2 linked regions of the Macaca mulatta genome follow. The protein of the gene in region 2 purifies or fractionates together with the protein of the main gene of each other region. This does not show direct contact. Links are inferred from orthologs where the notes say so. Each region holds a gene or a part of one and is shown on either strand. Other genes may lie near its edges.

Region 1 (7,863 bases), on a different chromosome or scaffold from region 2:
CTGTATACATAATATACATCTATGTACACATACACACACTATATACACTGTACATAGAGAGAGGATATAAACACATGTACATTCATTGAGTCTTACAGCCTAAAAACCTGTACACGCACGACGCTGCTGAAGGGACCCAGGGCCGGACATGCGAAGTGCACGCTGGTGGGAGGCACACAATGAGAAGGTCCAAACCCTGCGTACAAAAGACCCAAACCAACCCTGTCTTGATGAGAGGCTGGCTTTAAAAATTTACATCAAAGTTAAGACATTTTCAAAGAGCCACATAACCGAGAGAATGGAAGCTGGATAAAGGAAGCACATGGGGTGTCTGCTCTGCTGGCTCAGGCATTCCCAGGGCCTAGTGGGCACTGCCCTCCCTGGGAGAAAAGTGGCTATCAGATGATGAGACTTTCCATGACCTGGACTAAGAGAAGAGTTAAAATGTTACCAATGACCCCATTGCACGTAAAGTCATTTACACTAGAAAGTGGGCAACAAACTTCCGGACTCCAATGAGATCAGGTTCCAGAACATGGATGTACAGACATGGCATGAACTACTGATTGTGGCCAGGGGCTGGAAGCCCTGCAGAGGGCGGGCTGTGAGCAAGAGTGCTCTGCAGGAAATATCCTCAAAGGACTATGAAAGTAAAAGCACTAGAAATAGCTAGAGTCCTTAGAACTTTTTGTTCCTTGCCGTAACTATCCCCCAAACAAGACAGCTAAATACGTGTGTAGCGTGGATATTGCCTTGAGATTAGGGAGCCAAACGCATCCACTGTTACCACCATGGCTGGTGTCCTAACTGCCTCAGAAGAGTCCACATTCAATACTGACAATGACAAGCTAAAAATCAGTCCCTCTTGAGGGCAATTACACATCTTAGAAGTGACTATACCTGAAATTAAATATAAAGCCCAGAACAGCAAAAGAACCTCAAACCACAGCCTTATGGCAAGGATTAGACAATAAATAATGTAACCCCTCAGGACACACATAGAAATGTCAAATTAGGAGAGTATGGTAGGTAACATACTTCCTTAAAAACACCTTCCAGGAGTAACTTGAAAAGTATTACTTGCTCAACTAATTTGGTCTTTCAAAAAATCTCTTCCTGTCCTGTTTTACGCTAATGTGTAATGATCTCCACCATTTTCAACATCTATCTGTCTTAACCCAACATTATATAAGATACTTCTGGAAAAGAGTCCACTTAACTAAGAGGTGACAGCATGTGTCTGTCCCACCTCTCTGAGCCAGCTACCTCTCCTCACTGAGGGAGGAGCGGCCAGGCCAGTAGAAGAGGGAGCATGACATGGCTCCGTGGAGTTCAGCAGCCAGAGGACAGGTCTCACTTCATGAAACCCAAAGTTTCACAAACTGCTAACAAGGGCTATAAGCCCTGTGAAAGCTGGAGCCCAAATATTTGGTTTGCATCTCTTTAAGTAATTCTTGACTTTGGGCTGACTTTCCTTAACCAACCTGATGGGAGATGAAATGGACCTGCAGTCAAAGGCTTGAAATGAGTTCAAGCAACAAGAATTCAGGTTATGCGGACATGATCCTTAAAGAAAAGGCCACTTCAAAGTAAAGCCAAGAGGATCTCAGAAACCAACCAAGAGGTGTTCAAAGCCAAAACAGTCCCTGGAATCAGCCATCACCAGCAAAGGGACTGAAAGAGCAGGCCCAGGTTAGAATCAGCACCTTTCCAAGCAAAATCATGTTTTCTGCAAGGCTGTTTCAGCAGAGCCCAACACTTCCTCATCCAACGTGAGTCTAAGAGGCCTACTGGCTGCCACTGAATGACCTGGGAATGAGAGGAGGGGCTGGTGGAGACCTTTTCACCAACACCAAGAACTGGGATCTGAAAGCTATTATGCTTGTATTCCCAGGGAACTGCAACATGGCCCTCATGGTCACTCTCAAGAATCAAAATGACGGAAGGCAGGCAACAATCTGTGTTAGAGGCACGGCTGAGCTTCAGAATGCCTGCTACTAAAATCCTTCACAAACAAGAAATGAAACAAACCTGCCCTAATTCCATTGTCTCAGCTGGTTTTTTGTCTTAATTTTGAAACTGAAAACATCAGGGTTAGAAAAGTAAAAAATTACTTTAAGCTGGCAAAATTAAATCCTTCCCATCATTTTATAATGGCCACCCCCACTACTCCCCAAAATTTGTTGCCACGGCAAGAATTATAAAATGATATAATTAAATCCAAATAAGAATTTAGAAGTTGGAGACACTGTTCTCACTTACCCTACTAACAATGACTTGCATAAAGTGCTGCTAACCCTTCAGGATCAAGCATCCTGTTCTGCCTTGAGCCTGCGGCAGCTTCCATTCTGTCCAGTGTAGCTCCACAGGGGCATCTGTAGCTGGCTAGACTGCACCCCTGTGGAGCACATGTGTGGCACCAGCCTCAGCCAGATCAGAGCCCCTGTGAGGCAGGGGAGTGTCCAGGGATCTTTTTGGATATCATCTGATTAACAAATCAAGAGGGGCAAATTTAACCCAACAGGGTGTATTTTCTTAATCTGGACTATTTAAAAAGAAAAGACAAGGCAATTGACCTGGTCTTCCACATGCCACTTTTCTCAAACAGAAATAGCTTGCTATACATTCACATCCATGGGAATTTATGGGTGTTTGCAGTTAGACATAACTGCCTTTTAAGCACGTATTCTGTTCTTGCTATAAACTCTGGTTGCTATAATTTATGAGGAGAAAGACTATCACCGTGGAAATTAAGGGTTGTTTTTAAGGAGCAAGCAGTCTGCATTTAAAATGCTCCAGGGTAGTCGGCAGGCACACACCTGGGGGAACCAAAGTGCACAGAGTGCTGGGAACATTAACAGACTTGCCAGCAGAGATGCCAAGTCTACACACATTTTTAAAATCTCTGGTATTTAAGGTCAACAGGAAGAAACTGTCCTGAAACCTTCCATCCAGCTTTACCAAGCCCTGACCACTCTGGCCAGCCCCACAGTTCTGATGGAGCTGCAGAAACACAAGTCCTTTTCAAGGGGGCATTTGGAGTGGAAAGCCCTGGGAAGGTAACCCTCACACTCCAAGGCCACACTCTCCATCTGGACAAACACGCAAGCACCCCCAATTGTATTGGAAGTACTGTCAAGGGCTCAAAATGCCCACCTTGCGCTTTCTGGTCACAAGGCTCCATCTGCCATGAGCAGTGGATGTGACTTGGGGATGTTTTCACTTGCTGGAGGAATTGTACATCTCATTTGGCAGTTAATGTCTGACTAGTTGCAATCCAATTCAGATAACCAGTCATCAGAGGAGAACCCCAGGTTCTAGAGGAGTCTGCAGATGCCCATCAGAGACCAGGACCAAGTAGTCAGGGAACCTGACAAGTGTCTGCTCTATGGCTAGAAGCTTCTGGACTGGGTCACCACCGACTGTGCTACCACACGCCCACTTACTGCATGATGCAAATGAGCCACGTTTCCATTCACAGAATTCAGCTCAACTCCACAACATGTGCACACAATTAGGAATGATGCCTTCTTTTCTTAAACATAAATGATTGTCTCCTGTACCCTAGTGAGTTTTCACAGAAACCATTAGCATTTCGGCAAAAGACATATACAGTTTTCCATTTGCCCTGCCCACAGGCAAGATGTTGCTAACATTACACATTGATAAGTGCTTAGAAAGTGCTAATATTATTACCCTGGTAATTAGTATCTATAATTCCAAGGACATTTTTTATATATATATACACACATACTATTCTCTTAGGTTCTTTCAGTTTTCTTTAATACTAGTCTCTGACGTTATAAAACCTTTTTTTTTTTTTTTTTTTTGCCCTTTGAGAATTTCTAAATACAAATTGAGTTAAAAGATTGCTCCAAAATCTGCTGCTTCATCAAAAGGCATTAAAACATTTCTTATGTCAGGAAAGGATCCTACTAGTCTTTTCATTGCCATTGTCTGGGATTAACAGATAAGAAGAAACCAGACAGGAAACGGCTAACATATGGAAATATTTGCACATACCAAAATACCACTACTTTTCTTTTCTTTGTATGTGAACGGTCCCGGTAGGATTCTGTTGCTCCTTGGCAGATGTGTGGTGTGTACTATAGACTGGCTCCGGTGATCTGGCCATTATACTCTGCTGTCTCCATCTTGAGGATGTAGGGGATTATGCTGTCTATCGAAACATTGCCAATGAGGCCAGTAAAAAAAAGTTCTTCTGTTATGTTGGAGCTCATCAGCCTGAGTGCCGGCAGGCGAACGAGGATCCGGGCCAATCTGTAAAAGGGAGCGTCATTAGAAAAGGAGACTGTTTGATGCCCTTCAACCACAGCTCAGCACAGGCTCCTGGGGCCCTGTCTGTATTGCACAGAATCAAACCAAATGGATCCACCATCCACCCACCTCTTTTTTCTGATTTCAACAGTTCCTCTAATAGAAATTTATCATGAGAAAAAAACCAAACGAGTACAAAATGTATGTACAGATATGTTCCCTTCACTCTTGTTTATTCCAACTCTCCTCACCCCCACCGAAAAGAGAAAACCTGGAAATTCATCAACAGAGGACAGGTTAAAATAAACTAGGAGTCTTCATATGATGAACTGCTAAAGACTCATTTAAAAAACGATAATACAAATCTGTATTTACTGATCAGGAAAGACATCCATGACATGTTGCTCAATAAAAATTTAAAGGAGATTATAAAACAGCAAGTATAGATGTGTACATAAAGTACTGGGAAAATGTCCACCACAATGCTAACAGTTGGGCTCTAGGTATTGGGATTTGAGGTGATTTTTTTCTTATTTTTTGTACTGCCCTAATTTTCAGTGTCCCTTTAGCATTATAAATAAAGCAGTAAAATAGCTTTCATTTTGAAGAAACTTGGGGTGGAGGGTGCACCACGACACTGCCCTGGAGGGCCACTGAACACTGTGTATCTCAAGTGTCCCATGTGACCAGGCCATTTCCCAGCCAGGACTGCATCCCAGGCGAACAAGTGAAGCATGTGCCAGGATGCTACTGCAGAGTCATGTGTGACAGCCCAAACTGGAAACACCCTACCGTTTCATTAGCAGGGAAATAGGAACCACAGAAAATGAAGAAGAGTATGTATTGTTATTGTATATTACATGAAAAAAGGTTACAAAACCTTTGGTATTTTATGATCCCAATTATAATACATAAAAAATTTCTGGAAGTGAATACGCAAAATGTTAATAGTAGGTATCTCTGGATAGTGCTTTTTTTGTTTGTTTTTGTTTTTTATTTTGAGACAGCGTCTTGCTCTGTCATCCAGGCTGCAGTGGAGTGACGTGATCACAGTTCACTGCAACCTCAACCTCCCAGGCTCAAGTCATCCTCCCACCTCAGACTCCTGAGTAGCTGGGACTACAGGTGCACACTACTACATTTGGCTAATTTTTCATTTTTTTCTCGTAGAGATGGGGTCTCACTATGTAGCCCAGGGTGGTTTCAAAGTCCTGGGCTCAAACAATCTTGCTGCCTCAGCCTCCCAAAGTGTGGAAATTATAGGTGTGAGTCACCATGCCCTGCATGCTTTTTTAAAAAAAGTTTTTTAATAGTGCTTTTTAAAAAGTTTTCTTTTCCCTTTCTAGAACATTCTAAGTTTTTCTACAGTGAATACTACTTATTTTTAAAATGGGAAAATGTATTCATACTACGCAGGTAGCATTCCAGCATCAGCATCCATTCACTCAGCCACAATGAGTCACTGTGCTTCAATCTTGCAGGGCACACAAAGGTGTAAGAGACCTGCCATTTCAGCTGGGCCTTAGGGGCTGGCTAAGATTTCTATCAGCAGAGATACAAAGAATGGGGAGGGATGGGAGGTATTTCAGGAGGAATAATCAATATGAGAAAAGGCACAAGGATGGGGAAGAGTCAAACATGGATATTCCAGATAGTAAATACCAAGATAAAGAAAAAAATGAATATGCAAATAGGATGTAAAACACTCTAGGGCCTTTTCTTTCAGAACTCTCTCTGAGTGAATTTCTGAGCCCTATAAGAAAGCCTCCCTTATCATTTTGGGCTCCAAGTAACCTGTCATCACCCTAACCAACCCTGGGTCCCTGACTGGACAGGAGTGACTCATGTTTTCAGACACATTATATCTACTTTCCAAGGCAACAGAATTGCTGATATTAAAGTGATTCTAGAGTGTGCTGTGGCTCTGTCAGCAGCCCCAGAGGGCCATTTCCAGCCATCTTTTGGCCATGGGAACTGTGGGTGAGCAGGCCTGTGGCCTCCTAGGAGGACAACCTGACTGCACACTTGGCTAGATGTATAAATTCTGGGTGTGGGTGCATTCCCTGACAGTCCCATTCTCTATGTATTGAGGCTGAAGTTATTCTAGATTCATGATGAAGTCTTCGATGATTCCAGTAGAAAATGGATCTTGCTTTTGTAAAAGCCACATCTGGGCAATAGAAGTATGCCAAAAGGAGAAGCAGGCTCTTGTCTACCAGCAGGACCAGTCAGCCATAAGATACCCCCAGTCACACCAGAGAAATGGCTGGGACTGTCCTGGTTTTAGCGCTGAAAGACTAAGAGCTGGTTACTCTGCTGGGGGGCAAAATCATTTCTTTTGAGAAGCACTGGGCCAGAAGGGGTAGCCCCCAGGGGCATCTCTGTTCCATGGGGCTCCTGGAGACTGAGGTCTGTGCAGAGGACACACGTCTGGGGAAGGTGGGCCCGTGTGTCTTCCCAGGCTGTCAATTTTGTTCCAGTGTTTATTTTAGGGGGACATGGTGGGGAGGGAAATAGGAAATACTTTACTTGAAAGGGTCTCAGAAATTCATGTAGCTTCTGGTGGGTCAGAAGTTGTCATAGGAAAGCACTCTTCCATCTTTGGCTGGAAAGCCTGCCAATGCATTCTGACCTTTGGCAGATCTGAACAATTTTCCTGCCTAAAACGGCATGAGAAAGGCTTTTTTTTTTTTTTTTGAGACGGAGTCTCACTCTGTCGCTCAGGCTGGAGTGCAGTGGCATGATCTCAGTTCACTGCAACCTCTGCCCACCCCGCCAGGTTCAAGCGATTCTCCTGCCTCAGCCTCCCCAGTAGCTGGGATTACAGGCGCCTGCCACGGTGCCCGGCTAATTTTTTTTTTTTGTATTTTTAGTAGAGATGGGGTTTCACCATCTTGGCCAGGCTGGTCTTGAACTCCTGACCTCGTGATCCACCCGCCTTGGCCTCCCAAAGTGCTGGGATTACAGGCGTGAGCCATCACACCTGGCCCTAATTTTTATACATATATTTTTGCTGCACATTAATTACAAATACTACCACTAATTTTCACCCAAATAAACTTTTTTCCATCAGTTTATCTGAGGGCAAAATGACTTTATGTAACTCATCCACTCCTTTATGGGGTCAGATTTGATTTCTGTCAACAAGAACTTTTCTGTCAAGTACTCTAGCACTGCCTCTTCAATGGATGCTGACCAGAGAAGCAGATCTGTCAAACTATTCTAGACAAGGGAATCTCCATGAGAACTCAAGCCTCATGTACAGTGTTAGCCCTAGAACAGGCCACGTAGCATCTGCTCCAACTCCTCCAATTAAAGAGTAGCAATCTGAGGCCTCACTCACAGTCACACAGCAACACTGGAATCAGCCACAGTCTTGGCCCTCCTGCTGGCACCGTCTACACTCTACACCACCTCTAGCATTCAAGAATTATCTCTAGCTCTTGGGAGCTAGGAAAAAACAAAGAAAACTCAAGAATTAGAGTGTGATCCACTGGAGGCTCTATCAGGCTGCTAAAAATGGAAAGGTTAACATAATTTATATTAGAAACTACAAACCCAGCCACATTCCTTGCGGCCCCAAGC
Region 2 (8,607 bases):
ACCACTTTCCCAGTCCACTGTGGCAAATGCCTCTGCCAGGGTATAAAGTGCCTCTGGCCACACAAAAGAGAACGTGGCCAGAGGCTGCAATACTACCGCTAGATTGTTGAGGGGTCTCCTATTTCCCGTTGTCAGTCCTTCCCAGGAAGAACCCAATGATGTCACACAGTTATAAAATGCCCAAAACAATACCACAAATAGGTGGATACAACCCATGTTAATCTCGAAGGTAGACTTTAACAGTAGGATTACATATTTATTTAGCAGATACACAAATGGCAAGAAACTACATGACGTAGACAACTTATTATTGTAGATAAATACTTCACATATATTATCTCACTTAATCCTCATTAACCACTCCGTGAGATGGGTGCTGCTACTATCCTCATTTTACAGAGGAGGCACAGTACGGTTAATTTGTCCCTGGTCATACGGCTGACAAGTGGCAGACATGTGTGTTCAACCCCAAGCAGTCTGGGTTCACTATGCCACTGCTCAGATGACCTTCATGTGGAGTTCAGTTACTTTCTAAAGGAGGAAACACAGACCAATCGTGTGAGGGGAGGTGAGGAGGGGACTGTCGAGTTCTTCACCTAATTGGCAACTGGCATAGGCTCAGCTTTGCATACCTGTCTGGAATTCAAATCTCCAAATCATACAAACCAGCCACGAAAGCTTAGGCAATTATAAACTGTTCCTTAGTTTGCTCACCTAAAAGTGGGAGTAATAAGGGCCAATGACAGACTGTATGACTTATCTATTTAGTACACTGTGGTGCTCCTTTGAGAAGATAATGCAAATATTTACTAAATCATCTTAGGAGCTAAATTCTATATTTTTGATAGTAAGTGGCCTGATTTTTCTTTCCGGAAACTTTGACCTTTATTAATTAGATGGTTTATAAATCTATACTATGAAATGAAGCACTATAGCTTTATTACCTGGGTTTTGGAGATGAGGAAACTAACAAGTAGAGACTCACAACAAGAAACCTGTTGATATTTGGAGTTAAGAACCAAGTTATAGCTAATGCAAGCCATTCTTGGTCAGTGAGACTCTGCCCCTTAACTGGGCCCTTGCAGGGAAATCTCTTTCAATAGCAAAGCTGAGAGTCCTAACATCTGAGGAGAGTTCTGAATGACCTGCTAGTCTGGTACTATCACACGAATAACTGAATTGGGTCAGATTCCTGTGTTTCTATTCAAGTGGTGCAGTCCTGCCTTGGGGCCTGTGCACTGCTGGCTCCCGGAATGTCCTCACGGCTAACTCTCACACCTCCTTCGAGGTTTTGTCTCCCATATCAGCCTCTCGGCAAGGCCCACCCTGACCAATCTATTTAAAATTCCAATACCTTCTCCTCCCAACCCTCCAGACCCTGCTCTAGTTTTTCTCTTTTCTGTATCATTAACCACCTCCCAACATACTGTATATCACATACTTCAATTGTTTATTGTCCGGCCCCCTACCCTAGAATATAAACTTCCTAGAGTGGTATCTTCATTTTGTAAACCAAAAAATATCAAGTGCTCATAACTTTGCCTGGCATAAAGCAGGGACTCAATATATTATTACATAAATAAATTCAAAATGCAGAGGTACTTCTAAAAATGCACCAAATAAATAAGAATGATTCAACAGTTGTGTTTCTGAGACGAAAAGTCATACGATTTCACAGCACTGGGATGCAGGATTGCAGCAGGCATTTCATGGGCCTGGGGCATGACCTTCAGTGCTAAATTTAGTGCTCCTGGTGTTTCTAAGATTCCCGGTTACCAGTTTAACTTCATCTATCTAGGATGTTCATACCAAGAGTGTTTCTACAAACTCAAATACCTACTCAAAATAAGAAGCAAGCAAATCCGGACCTGCTTTTCCCACCTCCATGTAACAGACCCAGACCTATGAATGAATTGATAACAAAATTGATGGAGAAGCACTTCACAGTTGCAGGGCTATGGGATTTCTAGGCAATTTAAATTTAAGTGGGAATGGGGGACAGTTTTAGCTAGGATATTCAGTGTGTACACTGAGACAGGTACTCCAGTACTGAACCAGCAGTGAAATGCAAGAAAGAAAACAGGAATACCAGTACAGCACCCTTCCAGGAGGGAAAAGAGCTAAAACAGTGGATGGTGAAAATCACACTTCCCTTGGTGCCAAAGCCCCAAATCCTTGTTCATTATGGGGAGAGGAAAATAGTTAAAAACAAAAGTTAAGCATACACGTATAAGATAACAGAGAGTTATTCTCAACTTAATGTGCTTAATTAATCCAAACTAAACATAATACTTTGATAATGAAAAATACAGGCCTTGAAAAATCTGCCAAGCAAGAAACACACCACATTCCCATAAATGTTCATTTTATCGCTGTTTAAGGGTTTTTACTAGCGGCTAAAGGTAATAACCCAGATAGGCCCCCAAAATGGAACGCTCGACTAAGCATATCTCTAATACTCATGGTTGCTAAATAACAAGACTGCTTAACAAATTAAAAGCAAAATAACACATCTCTTATTTTTTTCCTGAATCTTTTTAAGGTAACCACTCACCAACAGACATGAAATCAGTAAGTCAATCATTAAAAATAACAGTCTCCAAACTCTTATAGATTGAATTACAAACGATAAATATCACATAACAATACCAGTCTAGAACTTTCACTAAATGCTTTATATTTTCACCCATGTCTCTTCATCAAAAGTGTATTATGACACTATCTACTAATCGGGATATTTTTATTCTTTCTTAAGATCAATTCTTACTTCTTTCTGCATATAGGGCTGCCTTTGATAGTAAAGGGCCTCTCCCCAGCAGAGGTGTATAATAGTTTGAGCCTCTTCATCCTGGGAATTGCAAGTGTTCATTCATTTTAACATTTGCTTTTCATAAAGTTTGCTGGTTCAAACTATTTTCAACTGTGTTAGCCCTGCGACACAGTTCGCCTAGGTCACTGCTATTGCTGTAAACTTAATTTTTTCATATTTTCACTATTAAAAGGACAACACTAGCCTTCTGGGAATGAGATAGCATTACTTCAAAGTTGAGTTTTAGAAAATGTATCGAACTCTTAACCTTCTTTAAAAAATGTGTGCAAAATATTAGGACAATTTCTACACTTAAAAAAACCTCATGACTCACCAAGTTTTAGACCATCTCATACAAACTCCTCAAGAAGGATAACTGTCTTTAACACATCTTAATAAATAGAATTTATACTGTCTTTTAACCAGCTTGTCTAAGTAGGCAGGCAATGGGGTAAAATTATTACTCAGCTTACATAAATTATAGTTTATTCTGAAATAACTGTTAGCAAGAATGAATGGGATATGCAATGACAGCCTTCCTTAAGTCAAGAGATATTTATTTATATTACTTATATCATACATATGAATTTATAGCATTATTTATATTTCTTATTTTTTACTTATTATTGGGAGTAAGGGGAAGAACTTAAACTAGTAACATTTCTACCAGAACTTCACAGTACTGGTGTTTTCGCTTTATTTTAAACTAGCCATCATGAAAAATCTGATTTAATACTTTAAAGCACTTTCAGTAATGACTATTCAATCACGATATGAATCAGCAAATTTGTTGCTCCATTAAACTGCTTTTAAGACTACCAAAACTTGCCCAGCTCTTCTGTCACACCTTTAGCAGAGGAAATGGAAGAAGCTATTACAAGGACACCTGAAAACTTGAAAAGTTTCAAAACGTGGACAATTACTCAACAGAATTTTCTTCTGAAAGACATTTTGTAGACGTTTCCCATGATTATCTCCTATTCCGGATGGCCCATCAAATCACATTCTAAACAGGCATTCAACACTTATTAAGCACCCACTGTGTGCAGAGACAGCACTATACTAAGCAAAGGAGCATAGGGTTCTGCCTCATTTTATTCCTGCATAAATACACAGCAGTCGTGATTTATTCTCTCAACTTTGTAGAAACGTGAGCTGCATCCACATGGCTGAATCCATGGCATTCATTTGGACTTCCTGGGGGCAATTTACAGTTTCTCTGGATTAGACAGCCCCATTGGGACACCACTCGGACCCTTCACCTTCCAGCCCACGCAGGACAATTCGCTGGCGTCGACCACACCTTCCGCAGGTGGTTGGACCGCCTGAGCCAGATGCACCCGGCCCACCTCCCTTAGCAGCGGTTCCGAATAGAAGTGTGAAAATGTGTGCAAGGACTTCTGCAAATCAGAGGATTTGTTGAAAGGTCCAGGGGTCCAGGCGTGAAGGGAAAGTAGCCACCCCGCGGGGCGCCCTCTCCCCGGCGTCCCCCGGGCCCGGGGCACTGCGCAGGCCGCCGCCGGTCCCAGGGCGCAGCCAGCGCACCTCGGGCCTAGCACCATTAGAAAGGCAAATCGCAGAGCCGGGGTGCATTTAAATCCCCGGCCATGGGCCCGGGGGGTGGCTCTCCAGCGGACGCTGCCGCAAGGGCCTCCAGGGCGCGTCGACCCCGGGGCGCTGGGCGCGGCCCGCGGGCGCACCCAAGACCTCAGCCCGCAGCGCCCGGGCGTCCGCGCCAGGCCGGGGCACGGGAGGGCACCCAGAGCCCCCGGGCCCGCGTCCCCGGCCCCGCCCGGGTCGCTCGGCCGCCTCCCAGAGAGAGGGCAAGCGCCCGGGCCCCCGCCCGCGGCCGCCGGCCCCGGCCCCCTCCCGATGCACCACACCTAGCAACCGGCGCTGACAGGACGCAGTGGCGGCGGCGGCGGCGGCGGGAGGAGGAAGCGGAATGGCTGCCGCGGTGGAGCCACCCCCGCCCCCCCGCTCCACCTCCCAGCGGCTGCAGCCGCCGCCGAGCCCTGACAGCTCGAGCCGGGGCGGAAGCGCCCGGCTGCGTGCAGCGCCCGCCCCCCGCTGCCCTCAGCGCCTCGGGCTGCTCCGACCACCCGGGCCAACTAACTCCGCGCCCCTGCCCAGCGCCCGGCGCCCGCCGCCCGCCGCGCCCTCCGCCCCGCGCCCCGCGAGCCGGCGCTCGGCCCCGCCGCCGCACCCCCCGCCGGCCCGCCGCGGCGCTCCCCGCTCCCACCACTTCGCAGCCCGCGTGCACGCCCCTGAGTCCCCCAGCCGCCAGCCCGCCCGCCCGCGGCACCTCGGGGCGCCCGCCCCCTCCCCCACCCCACCCCAGACCGCTCCCCGCCCCCCCGGCACCTCGCGTCCCCGCATCCCGCCACCCCCACCTCGGGGCTCGCACGCGCCCTCCCCGGCCCGCTGCCTCCCTCCCTGCGGGCCACCCCTGGCCATTCCGGGGCTCCCCGCCCAGGCAGGAGTTTCCGCGCGCCTGGCACCTCCGCCCACCCCCGGGCCATTTACCGATGTGGTTGTCCTCGATGTGCTCGATGAGGTCGGCCAGGGTGGGGAAGTGGAGTCCGCAGCCCCCGAATCGGCAGGTATTGGAGAAGAAGGAGGCGGCGGCGATGCCTGTCATGGTGCTACATCGAGAGCCCCCCTGGTGTCGGCTCTGCGAGCGCCGGGCGGGCGAGGGAGGGAGGGAGGCCGGGTGGGGTGAGGAGAGGAGGGGCTGGGGGAGGGGGAGAGAGGCGGGGTGAGGGGAGCGGCGAGGACGGGACGGAGGGAGAGGGGGCGAGAGAGATGGAAGGAGAGCAAGGAGCCACCGGGAGGCAGAGGGGAGGCGGCGGCTGCGGCGGCGGCGTCGGGAGCGGCGCGGGGAGGGCGGGGGCGGGGGCGGGGGGGAGGCCGCCGCAGCTGGGAGGAGGGACCAGGGCGCGCGGCTACAGCTGTGCGGCCCCAACCTCAGCGCCCGGACCCAGGCCTCACCTGCGAGCCCTGCCACCAACTTTATCTCGCTAGGCCTGCCCTTTACAGCTTGCGATCCGTGCCATCTGTTTGGAGCCTCCTTGGTTATGTATATGACGTTCTTAATGCACCCACATGGATTAATTACACCTACCTTCCTGCGAGGAGAACTCAGGGAGTTACCCTGGCCCCTCTCGGGGACATTTTTTTGTACTCAGCCACCTGTCTAGGTGTGACACATTCACAGGGGACCCGGGAAAGGTAATTGTGTGCACCTTCTTCTTTAAACCTTCTTTAGAAAAAGTCTGCATTCTCCGGAGGTTTGTACTAATTGATTTTAATGAAGCTTCCCTCTAGGCCAGAAGAAAATCTTAGCTTTATTTAAATTTCAAAATAGAGTGCTTGGTTGTCAAGTGCATTTGCCTGTGTTTTACATATGTACCACGTTTTTTATACTCCCTGCTCCTTCTAGGAAAACAAAAGCTAAAATAATTTAATCACCCGAAATTACAGCACCCCACTGCACCCACTCCACCATCTCAGGTGTGGTAATTAACCCAACCTCGTTTCAGCCACGGCAGAAAGGACGGTGCATTGGTTAAGGCTAGAAGGAATGGAAACAACGGCGAGGGAAATGGTGACTCTTATTTAAAAAGGAAGCGATTTCGTCCTGTGAGCATTTAAACCATAATGTTGACCAGGTAACCACTTAAGTTGAATTTAGTAGCTTCCCTGAAAACCAGCATTTTGCTGATTATCAATTACTTTCTGGTCCCCACCCCCTCCTCCAGTTGCAGTCATATTTCTGCTGTAAAGTGTCTATTTGCCATAGCAGTTTTCAGGTGCCTAAGAAATACTACACATTATCAGCAGTTTATGACCCAACAGTACATTTTTTATTAATATTAATATGTGCATACTGAATTTAGTATTTTTCCTTACGGCAAATTTCACTTACCCTCTGGTGCAGATAAATGGAGAAATAGTATTCCTCCCTCCATAAACTCTATGCATCCCTATCTAGTGTTATTTCTAATAATGGGATTGTTTGCTTTTCATGCAAGTTCTTAGAGTAAAGGTACATGTAATATGTCTGTTGCTACAGGAAGTTTTATGATCTGACCATCACGGGTATCATTTTCTCTTCTCATCTCTTCTGTCTTACAGCTCACAAGGTGACAAACTTTTGCTGAGATGAGATTTGGCTTGGGTGGGGCTGGGGCAGCTGTGTCTTGAAGTTCAGTTTGGTGCCAAGAATGGTTTCGTGGTCCCAATGAGGGAGGGGGCAGGGCCCTGGTGGGCCTGATAATGAGCCAGGGACCCAGTTGGCAGGGGACTGAGGCCAAGGCCAGACAAGGGTCTAAAGAGCAGGAGTTAGAATTCTAGATCTTGAATTAGAATTTTGGCAGCTGTGCAGTACATTCAGCTGCCCAATCTGGGAAGGCCTTCAACTGAGAGCAGGCAGAATATCTGGCAGGCACACATCACACCGAATGACATGGAAATGCAATACAAAAACTTCAGCCAAAAATGGTGCCAAAACAGCCACTCTTAGAGATGAGTGTGAGGCACCCCCACTGTGCAGCATCTGGGAGCCCCAATAGCTTTGAAGAAGTAGCAATTCTGTCCTCCGGAGGAAAAATTGTCTATATGGAGTTATTAACTCCCAAGAGTGTGGAGAGGTGGTTCAGGCAACAAAGTTCCAAGATGGAAAGTGCCGGAAATGTGCAGGTGAAAGATGAAGGAAGTAAGGGGCCTGGGTTTCACTAATGCATGGCTTTCTACTACCTCCTGTCAGTTTCACTATTCCTAAAATAAAACCTTGCTAGACCAAATTGAAAAAATAGATTTTTTTTTTAAATGAAGTGAGCTAAAATAACTTCCGAAGTAAATCAAGATTTTGATTTTTAAGACAAAATTATTTTCTCTACCTTGGATAATTATTACTATTTTATAAGGAATCAGTTCATTTTGCCTGAAAATAATCCACCCTACTACTTCTTCATATATGACTGAAGCTTTGTTTATGTGTCATTCTGCTTATACTAGTTTTTAAAAATCTGTATACTCTAGGCATTTCTGGTCTTTGTATAAGATACATGATTATGATCTCTTAGATCTGGAAGATGCTCTGGCTGTCAGAACCACTGGTTTTGGAAATGTGGTAAACTGACGCCAGGGGCATCAAGCAAGTTCTCCCAGGTGCACACAGTTTTTTCTCTGTACTCGTGGTGCATTTAGAAGGCATTGATAAACAATAGAAGGACAAATATATAGATAGTAACCACATGCAAAGTTTTTAAAAAATTGCTAATAGCATGCTTACCTTTCTGTACTTACATTTTTAAAGTGTTTGTTTCAAGGATACTCCTTTAGATAAAGTCAACATCTAAGCTACAAAAATATATAAAACAAACAATTCAACTTATTGCATCTGAGAGAGAAGGTGATGACTGACATACCTCTGTACTTGCAAAAAACATTTATCTGTCTGATTTGGGAAGTAAAAATATTTGAAAGGAGAGGGACAGTGAGGGAACTGAGAAGTCAGAATGATATGACAGTGGCTGTAGACAAGAAGCATTCTCTGGGTTTAAGAGCCTTCCTTGAAAACATGTGTCTCTCCCCAGAGCCTAGTGCCTCCCAATGTGTAGGCACAAAGTATGGATGTGCAGTGGCCCCACAGTGTGGTACTTAGCATTACAAATGGTTTGAGATCCCATAACAGTCTCTCCAAATCCAGCATGTCCAGTGCCCTCGAGATGGGGCAGCTGCCGGAAGGTGTGAATCCACTGGTCTAATGGAGCCAACTGAAGACACTGAGGATC

What was found.
Region 1: the proteins of JAZF1 (region 2) and NR2C2 purify together in Homo sapiens (affinity purification with mass spectrometry; 4 studies listed by BioGRID and IntAct, with this or other methods). This does not show direct contact. The link is inferred for Macaca mulatta from reciprocal best matches to the Homo sapiens genes JAZF1 and NR2C2.

What each region holds. Positions count from the first base shown.
Region 1 is NC_133407.1:153,847,371-153,855,233, reverse strand, and holds part of NR2C2 (nuclear receptor subfamily 2 group C member 2), read right to left. Parts: intron 4,282-7,863; coding exon 4,107-4,281; 3' UTR 1-4,106. UniProt on the Homo sapiens protein: Orphan nuclear receptor that can act as a repressor or activator of transcription.
Region 2 is NC_133408.1:100,162,683-100,171,289, reverse strand, and holds the start of JAZF1 (juxtaposed with another zinc finger protein 1), read right to left. Parts: upstream 5,646-8,607; 5' UTR 5,451-5,645; coding exon 5,336-5,450; exon of another isoform or gene 4,801-5,335; intron 1-4,800. UniProt on the Homo sapiens protein: Acts as a transcriptional corepressor of orphan nuclear receptor NR2C2. Inhibits expression of the gluconeogenesis enzyme PCK2 through inhibition of NR2C2 activity.